2 linked regions of the Diceros bicornis minor genome follow. The protein of the gene in region 1 purifies or fractionates together with the protein of each later gene. This does not show direct contact. Links are inferred from orthologs where the notes say so. Each region holds a gene or a part of one and is shown on either strand. Other genes may lie near its edges.

Region 1 (3,907 bases):
CCACTCCAGGTGCTGGGTGATTTCGGTGAAGGGAGCACGAGTGCTAGGTTCCATCTGATAGGTAGAGACAGGGGCAGCTTCACTCAGTGCTCCCAAAGAGGGTCCCTGAGTTTTCCTCCCATCAGCTGGGACAGGACAGCCTTGTCAGCTGATGGATGGGGGCGGAGGGCAGTGAGGGAGAGGGAGCTCTTACACTGCAGCAGTGGATGGCCAGGAGCAGGAAAGGCAGTGGGCAGTCATCCCCTACAAGGGTCCGGAAAGCAGGCACATCCAGGCCAAAGTCCTGCGGGGACAGAGAGGAGGGGCCTCCAAGTCAGCTTTCCTTGGGTTCTCCTTCTGCCCCCTAATCAGGACCTGAACCTCCAGGGAGCCCTCCTTGGTTACGAGCTGCCCAGTCTGGAGTTCCTCCTTTCAAACCCGGAGACATCATTCACCTCAGTACGCGGTAGGTAATCAGGATCCGCTGGTACTCGCGCAATGAGCTCACAGAGGACGATCCCAAAAGCGAAGACATCGGCCTGGGGGTAAGAGTAAATGTCAGGGGGAGAAATTGACAGTTTTCATGTCAGAATTTTGTCAGAATATGTCAGAATTCAGAGGGGAGGCTTGACAGTTTTCATGTGTTGGAGGGGTGCCTTGAGGGGCAAGGGGGATCTTGAGGGTCTCGTGAATATCTGGTAGGGTTGTTGAGGAACTTGGGATGGGGCCTTGTAAGTATTTCAAGGGTCTCTGGAAGGCCTTGGGGGTCTGAAGGGTCGATGTCTTACCTTCTCATCATACAGCTCACCCCGCAACACCTCTGGAGCCATCCAGTACGGAGAACCCACTACAGCCAATGGCTCCTTCCTTGCCCCTTCCCTGTAGGAGCAGGGGCAGAGTGGTCAGAAACATCCCACTCAGACCCCCCCCCCCGGAAACAAAAGGGCATGAGGTCAGCCCCCTCCCCACTCCAAGGGAAGTGTCCCTGGGGGCTTCACTTAGATAGGGGCTTCCTGGGAGGTTTGGGGGGACAGGGGCATTCACCTCACCTATACACAGGAATCTTTTCAGCCAGGCCGAAGTCACCCACAACAGCTGTGAAGCCTCGGTCGTCCCGTCGGATCAGACAGTTCTGACATACACATATAGCATCCCCACACATCCATCACGTTCTGCTCCCTGATCTCCTAATACACACTGCAAAGCCCTGTCACTCCCGAGTCACCCCAACCCTTTCTATCTCCCAGTCCTCCCATGCACCCCAATTTGCAACATCATCCATCGCTCCAAACACAGCATGGTACTCACTTCCTCAGGGCACTCCCCTTCACCCCAGACCCCCATTCTCCAATGCCTTGCTACTCCAACATCCTACATCCATGGGCTAGTTACAACCTAATAGTCTCAAGTCCCCTTTCATGCCTCCACCCACCTGGCCAGCCTACCTTGGATGTGAGGTCTCGGTGGAATACCCCTTTGGCATGCAGGTACCGCAGGCCACGGGCGATGTCCAGAGCCAGGCGGAGCCTGACAGGCCAGGATAGGGGTTCGGGGGAGCTGAGCAGCTGTTCTAGGGTTCCCCCATTCATATACTGTGGCATAGGGGGAGGAGAAGGGGAATGAATGTCAAGGTTTCAGTCTGTAGTTTCCGTCTCTCACTTATAAGCCAGGGGACACTCAGGAGGATTGCAAAGGTGAGAAGAGTGAGTCCAATGCTCTAGGATCCCCCATTCATATTCTAGGGCTGTCCTGTCCAATAAATGTGCAACTATTTAAATTATTAATTTTAAATAAAATTAAGCATTCAGTTTCTCAGTCACACTAGCCACATTTCCAGGGCTCCTTAGCCACATGTGGCTAGTGGCTACCACAGGTATATAGAACATTTTCATCACTGCAGAAAGTTCTATTGGACAGCACTGCTCTAGAGAACACAGAGGATGGGACCAGCTGAGGCCTTTTATTTGTGGTTTGCCCAAAGGGAAGTTCAGGGAAGCCTCCCCGGGAGAAGGTCCTGCTGCTTCTCATTATTCCTCTGCAGATGCACTGGGCTGCTGACTCTCTCTCCCCTTGTTTGGGGGGGGGGCTTCCTGGCACATCCTCACCTCTGTAAGAGCGTGCAGCTGCCCCTGGTGCACACAGACCCCCATGAACCTGGAAGAGGATGGGGAAGATAGGAGGGCAGGCTGTGAGAGCCCCAGTCCCTCCACAGTTCCCACTTTTCCGGCGGGATCTTTCCCCTTCCCCCAGCAAGCTTCCCAGCAAGCGGCTGGGGCCCGCTCACCTTAGGATGTTGGGGTGCCGAAGCCGGTTCATCAGCTGCACCTCCCGTAGCGTGTTTCCCCGGTTACTGGGGAGCCTGTTCATTTTCAGCACCATGACTTGCCCGGACTGTCGGTGCCGAACCTGGGGGCGGCAGAGGCCGGCGAGTCCCAGGCGGGTCGCCCCAGTCCGGCCTCAGTTCCAGCCTCCCGTCTAAGGCTCGGTCCCGCCCCTCTGCCCTCTCTGCCGGTCCTACCTTGTAGACCTCAGAGAAGAAGCCGGCCCCGATCTTCTCGGCGCAGTGGAAATCGTCCACGCGCGCCAAGCTGGACACGGCGCTGCGGAGGGCCCGGTAGGAGGAGGGGCGGCCCCGGCCCGGGCCTCCGCCCGCGCCCCCCGGCCCCGGGGGCCCCTCCCCCGGCGCCTCTCCCGGCCCGGGCCCAGGGCCCCGCAGTGGGGGGCCTTCCCCGGCCATGGCCGGGCCCCCAGCCCGGGCCTGCCTCACATGGCAGGGTCCCCGGGGCCCGGGCAGGCCCCACTAGCCATGGGCGCGGGCCCAGCCCGATCGGGCGCCGGGACTCCGCTCCCGCCCCGGAGAATGGAAGGTCCGCCGGAGGTCCTGGGCCCGCCCCCGCCGCGCCGGCTCGCTGGGCCCGGCGGACGCCGCGCCGCTCCTCTCTGCGCACGGCCTGGGCCTGGGCCTGGCCTGGGCCGGGCGGCGGCGGTGGCGCTCCGGGCGGCGGCGGGCAGGCGGGCTGGCTCCCGCAGGCGGAGGCGGGCGGGCGGGCGGCGGCTCTGCGCTTCGCCGCTGGGGCTCAGGCTCCGCGGCCTGCTGGGGGCGGGGCTGGGCCGGGCCTCCGCTTAACTCCTTCGAGCCGGGCCTCGGGGCAGCGCCACGCCCCCCAGGTGCGCACCCCGCGACCGGTGGCCGCGACGCGAGCGGGGCTGGGGCGTCGGGGTCAAGTAAGTTCAGGCTCGAGCGGAATAACTGACTGGAACGGTGGGCTGCTTGTGCGTACGCGCAGCTCGGATGTCTCTGGCCGTCCTCAGGACGCTGTCGGCTGAGGGCCGGGCTCAGGGAGCCGCCCGCTGTCTCCGCTCCACCGACCAGCGGGGCAGAACAGTAGCCCCGCAGGCCCAGCCACAGTCGGCGGCCGCCCAGCAACCTGCCCGCCGCCCCGGCCCCGCCGGCCCATTCCCGGTCTCCGCCCTACTCCTGAAACCTCTGGACCCCCGACACCTTCCACGTTCGCGGGCGGCCGTGACGCCCCGGGGCTGCGGTGAGCCCTTGGCCGGCCCAGCCCCGGCGTGGCCCCGACTCCTCCTCACTCCATCCCGCTTCCCTCGAATAAAGGTCGCATTCCAGTGCCTCCGCCCAGTGACCGCCCGCCTGGACCTTCCTCTCGCTCTTTCTTCCAAACGACCCCCTCTCTCCAAAGAGAAGCCTCCTCCTGCAGGGAAGCCCCTCCTTCCGCGAGATCCTACCCTCGGCAAGACCCCGCCCCTCCAGGAGCCCTTCCCCTCGGAGACCCCTCCCCTGAGAGGGGCCTTTCCCCAGTAAGACACTGCCACCGTCAGTGTGTGCCAGAACCCTGAGTTCTACACCCCTCCTCCGTGTGTTTCTCCTACGCAGTGAGACCCCTCGTGTGGGAGTGACTCCTTCTGT
Region 2 (3,907 bases), about 30 Mb from region 1:
GTCATCATCTGAGCCTTACAACTGAGGACCCAAGGCTTAGAAGGGTTAAATAACTTACCCAAGAGCACAGAGCCATCCAGATACATGGGGAATAAGACAAAAAAAGTCCCTGCCTTCATAGCCCTGACAGACTAGTTGGGAAGAGAAACATGAAACTGATAATTTCACAAATATCTATTTCATTTCAATTGTGCTATAAAGGAGTATGGGATATACACAAGATACATAATAGGAGAACATATCATAGGGGGATCTAACCCTGTGGGGAGAGATGGGGGAGGGAGGATGGTCAGAAAAGGCTTCCATTTGAACTGAGATCTGAAGTATGAGTAGAAGTTAGCTGGGCAGAGAGGGATAAAATATGGAGAGAGGGCAAAATTGCTCCAGGTAGAGGGACCAGCATATACAGTTCTTGAGTGGCACAGTGCAAGGCATGCAAGGAAGAGAAAGAGAACAAAGGATGAGAAGGGGATTTGAGGTTGGAAAGACAGGCAGGGACAGATCATGCAGGGCTCAGTGGGCCATTTTAAGGATTCTGGTTTGTATCCTAAGACCAACAGAGAGGCACAAAAGGTTTTTTCTTTTTTTTTTTTTTTTGTGAGGAAGATGAGCCCTGAGCTAACATCCATGCTAATCCTCCTCTTTTTGCTGAGGAAGACCGGCTCTGAGCTAACATCTATTGCCAATCCTCCTCCTTTTTTCCCCTAAAGCCCCAATGGATAGTTATATGTCATAATTGCACATCCTCCTAGTTGCTATGTGTGGGATGCCGCCTCAGCATGGCCGGAGAAGCGGTGGGTCAGTGTGCGCCTGGGCCGCCAGTAGCAGAGCGCGTGCACTTAACCGCTAAGCCATAGGGCCGGCCCCACAAAAGGTTTTAAACAAGAGAATGTCGTGATCAGATTTCTGTTGGGCAGAAAGCAAGAGTGGACGCAGGAAGGCCAGAACAGAGACTCTCCTCCGAGGTCCTGCAGAAGCAGAGCTTCCTCTCTACAGCCTTCTGTGAGCCCTGCTTCAGCACTGATCACACTGCATAAGCATCACCTGCTTAGTGTGTAGCCCCCACTACACTGAGCACTGAGACGATTCACCTTTGTACCTGCAGCACCCACACAGCAGCTGCCCCTGTCAGGCAGGTGTTAGTTGCTGAATGAAGGGTTGGTTGAGCAAGCAGCCAAGAGACAGGGAAGCCAGTTTAATTCAAATCCAATTCCCTGAAAATCTTAAAAATGAGTCAGAGCGTGGGGGAAGACACAGCGTTGGAGCTGAGGATGCCAGATGGTCAGTGCCTTACACTTCCTGGTAAATGGATTTTAATAAAATCAACATCTGCTCTGTGATCATTATTGTCCCACTATCTTTCCTCTGAAGACCTTCTCAGACAGTTTGAGTCTAATTACCAGAAACCGCAGACAGTTTCATCTCTACTCTTTTTCATTTATGATCAAATATGTTAGTAAACTACTTATAAATGAAACAAAAACTCATGTTTTTCTCTGTCTGAATCCCTCCTTACAGACCATGTTGCTTTCCTGGGCTTGTCTCCAGGCTCCAAGACTGGCAGCTGCTTCATGGTGTCCTATGCATGAGAAAGAAAGGCAGTTTATAGACATTCACGATTATCTTTTACCTGAAACACAGAAGAAATGAAGTCACTCTCCTCTTTAAAACCTCTCCTGCTGATGTACCAATTTCTAGGGACTGATTAATTTGAATAAGCATTACCAACCTTTTGATATAAACATATTTGGGAGGCAAATGTAACACAGCTTTCTTAACACAATTACAGAAGCTTTTTAGCCAAAGTTTTCTTATGTCTGTGATTTTCATGGGAAGGGGCATATAATATCAAAATAAATTTTCAGAGGTCATAAGATGTTTATGTTTATCAAAAGATAAAATAATTTAAAAGTTTAAGAAATACTGAACTCTAGGATAAATCCTGGCCTCAGCATGGCATTCAAAGCCTTCTGGTCTCAACATTCTTTTCAGGAACCACCTCCACAATTTCTTGCTATATTGAGCTGTTCTTGCTACATTTGTTGTTCCTTTAATGTGGCAGGCCATTTCATAACTTGCATCCTGTGCTGTTTCTCCTACCTGAAAAGTCCTTTCCCTTCCTGTCAACTAGCAAACTCCTAGTCAACCTCCAAAACCCTGTTCAAATGTCCCCTCCTCAGTAAAACCTTCCCTGATTTGTTGCTTTCCACTTACATCCCCGTTACTTCCTTCTCCCTTTGAAGATATCTATCAAGCCACCATCATTGCAGGGATCACCTTGAAGGTAATTATCTATTTAACAGTCTCTAGACCAGATTCTAGACTAAATTCCACTCGACTAAATTACAAGAGAGCTGGGCCTGCTGGATTCATTCAGAGAACCTACCAATGGGCCTGGCATAGAGTAGACGTGAGGGAGGAGCGAATGAAGAAAGAAAATGGATGAGATTTCTGAGAGATGAATGCATAAACCCAACCTTCAGCCTAGCCACTGACGGCTGTTCTCAAAGCCCAGAGCTCAACGGGGGTAAACTTCGCATGGACGGGGACGTCCTACAGCCGCCCCTGCCAGTCCCATCCCCCAGTCCCAACCCCGCGTGGCAGCGAAAGGGGACAGGAGCCAGGGTCGGGAGAGAGTAGACTGGCTCCTTGCCGTCCAAGTGGCCCAGCTGGAGTCCGAGGACGCCCTCCCCAGCGCTTTCCACTGGGCCTGGGCCCATCCCCCTAAAGAAGCGGCCGCCCCCGCCCGGCACCGCGTCCGACCCTGGGGCCCTAGGTCCGGAGACCGCATTACCTGCGGCGGCTCAGGCCAGTCCCGGGCCGTGGCTCCGCCCCCAATGGGGGCGGGTCTTGGCCCTCGCCCCGCCCCGAGACCCCGGAAGAGCGCGGCGGCCAACCGCTCCCCTGCTCCTCGCCTCACGGCCGGGGCGGGGCCCTCCGGGTCTGGGGTGTTGTCGGTCTGCGCGTTTCTCGGAACCTGACAGGCCGGGCCGTCTCTCCCTGGCGGAGTAAGTAAGCCAGGGCTACTTGGAAACGACTGCAAGCGAGATGCCAGGGGTTGGGCGTCCACTTAGGGGACCCAAGTTACTCCTACGGCTGGGCTGTCCTAAAGGGGCTAGGATATTTTCAGTTCCAGCGGGTGTTAGAAATGGTTTCTGAAAGGGAGACTTAAGGATGCTTTCCTCGGTGTGAAATCTCCCTGCGAAGTCTTGAGGCCAGTTCAAGCTTTGGCGCCTTAAACAGCTGACATCCCATAATTAGTGTTTGTAACTATGGCAGGCACTATGCTGAACCAGACAGACATGGCCCCTGGCCTCCTGGAGTTTACCATCTAACTCGAGAGAGAGATTAAACAGAAAAAGCAATAACCAGATACATTTGTAAAAAGTGCAAGGAATAAAAAGTTCATCCATGAGTATCTACTCTTGAGGAAGTTACTTTTCTCTGGGCGTCTGTCTGTAAAATGGAGCTAATAAGATTGTTGTCACAAGGTGATGAGGAATACATGAGCTAATTCATGTATATAAGGTGTTCGGTGCGCAGCGCAGAGCTGGTCCTCTGTAAAGTGTGGTGCTATTCCTAGCTATAAATGAACTCTAGACACCAGCCCTGAGTTAGACGTGTTCATATGCATTATCTCTGGTCTCCATCATAACCATGGCCCTGTGGCTTCCTGAAAATGGAGAGGTGGCTCACCTATGTCTATGTTTCAGAGACCCTGGTGATCACTTAGGAGGACTGGGACAGTCGTGTCCTAGGAAACAGAAGAAATCGCTAAGGAAGGAAACCGCAGGAGCTCCTGGAGTCCAGAGCTGTGGTAGCAGAGTGGGAAGCAGTCAGACACACTCCTGTTCAAACCCAGGCTCCAGCACTAACCCTGACATTTGGCAAGTTCATTACCCTCTCT

What was found.
Region 2: the proteins of TESK1 (region 1) and RABEPK purify together in Homo sapiens (affinity purification with mass spectrometry; 3 studies listed by BioGRID and IntAct, with this or other methods). This does not show direct contact. The link is inferred for Diceros bicornis minor from reciprocal best matches to the Homo sapiens genes TESK1 and RABEPK.

What each region holds. Positions count from the first base shown.
Region 1 is NC_080767.1:4,054,080-4,057,986, reverse strand, and holds the start of TESK1 (dual specificity testis-specific protein kinase 1), read right to left. Parts: upstream 2,889-3,907; 5' UTR 2,717-2,888; coding exon 2,498-2,716; intron 2,386-2,497; coding exon 2,264-2,385; intron 2,134-2,263; coding exon 2,085-2,133; intron 1,572-2,084; coding exon 1,425-1,571; intron 1,112-1,424; coding exon 1,029-1,111; intron 859-1,028; coding exon 768-858; intron 519-767; coding exon 435-518; intron 284-434; coding exon 194-283; intron 55-193; coding exon 1-54. UniProt on the Homo sapiens protein: Dual specificity protein kinase activity catalyzing autophosphorylation and phosphorylation of exogenous substrates on both serine/threonine and tyrosine residues.
Region 2 is NC_080767.1:33,602,808-33,606,714, reverse strand, and holds the start of RABEPK (rab9 effector protein with kelch motifs), read right to left. Parts: upstream 2,734-3,907; 5' UTR 2,402-2,733; coding exon 2,387-2,401; intron 1,580-2,386; coding exon 1,521-1,579; intron 1-1,520. UniProt on the Homo sapiens protein: Rab9 effector required for endosome to trans-Golgi network (TGN) transport.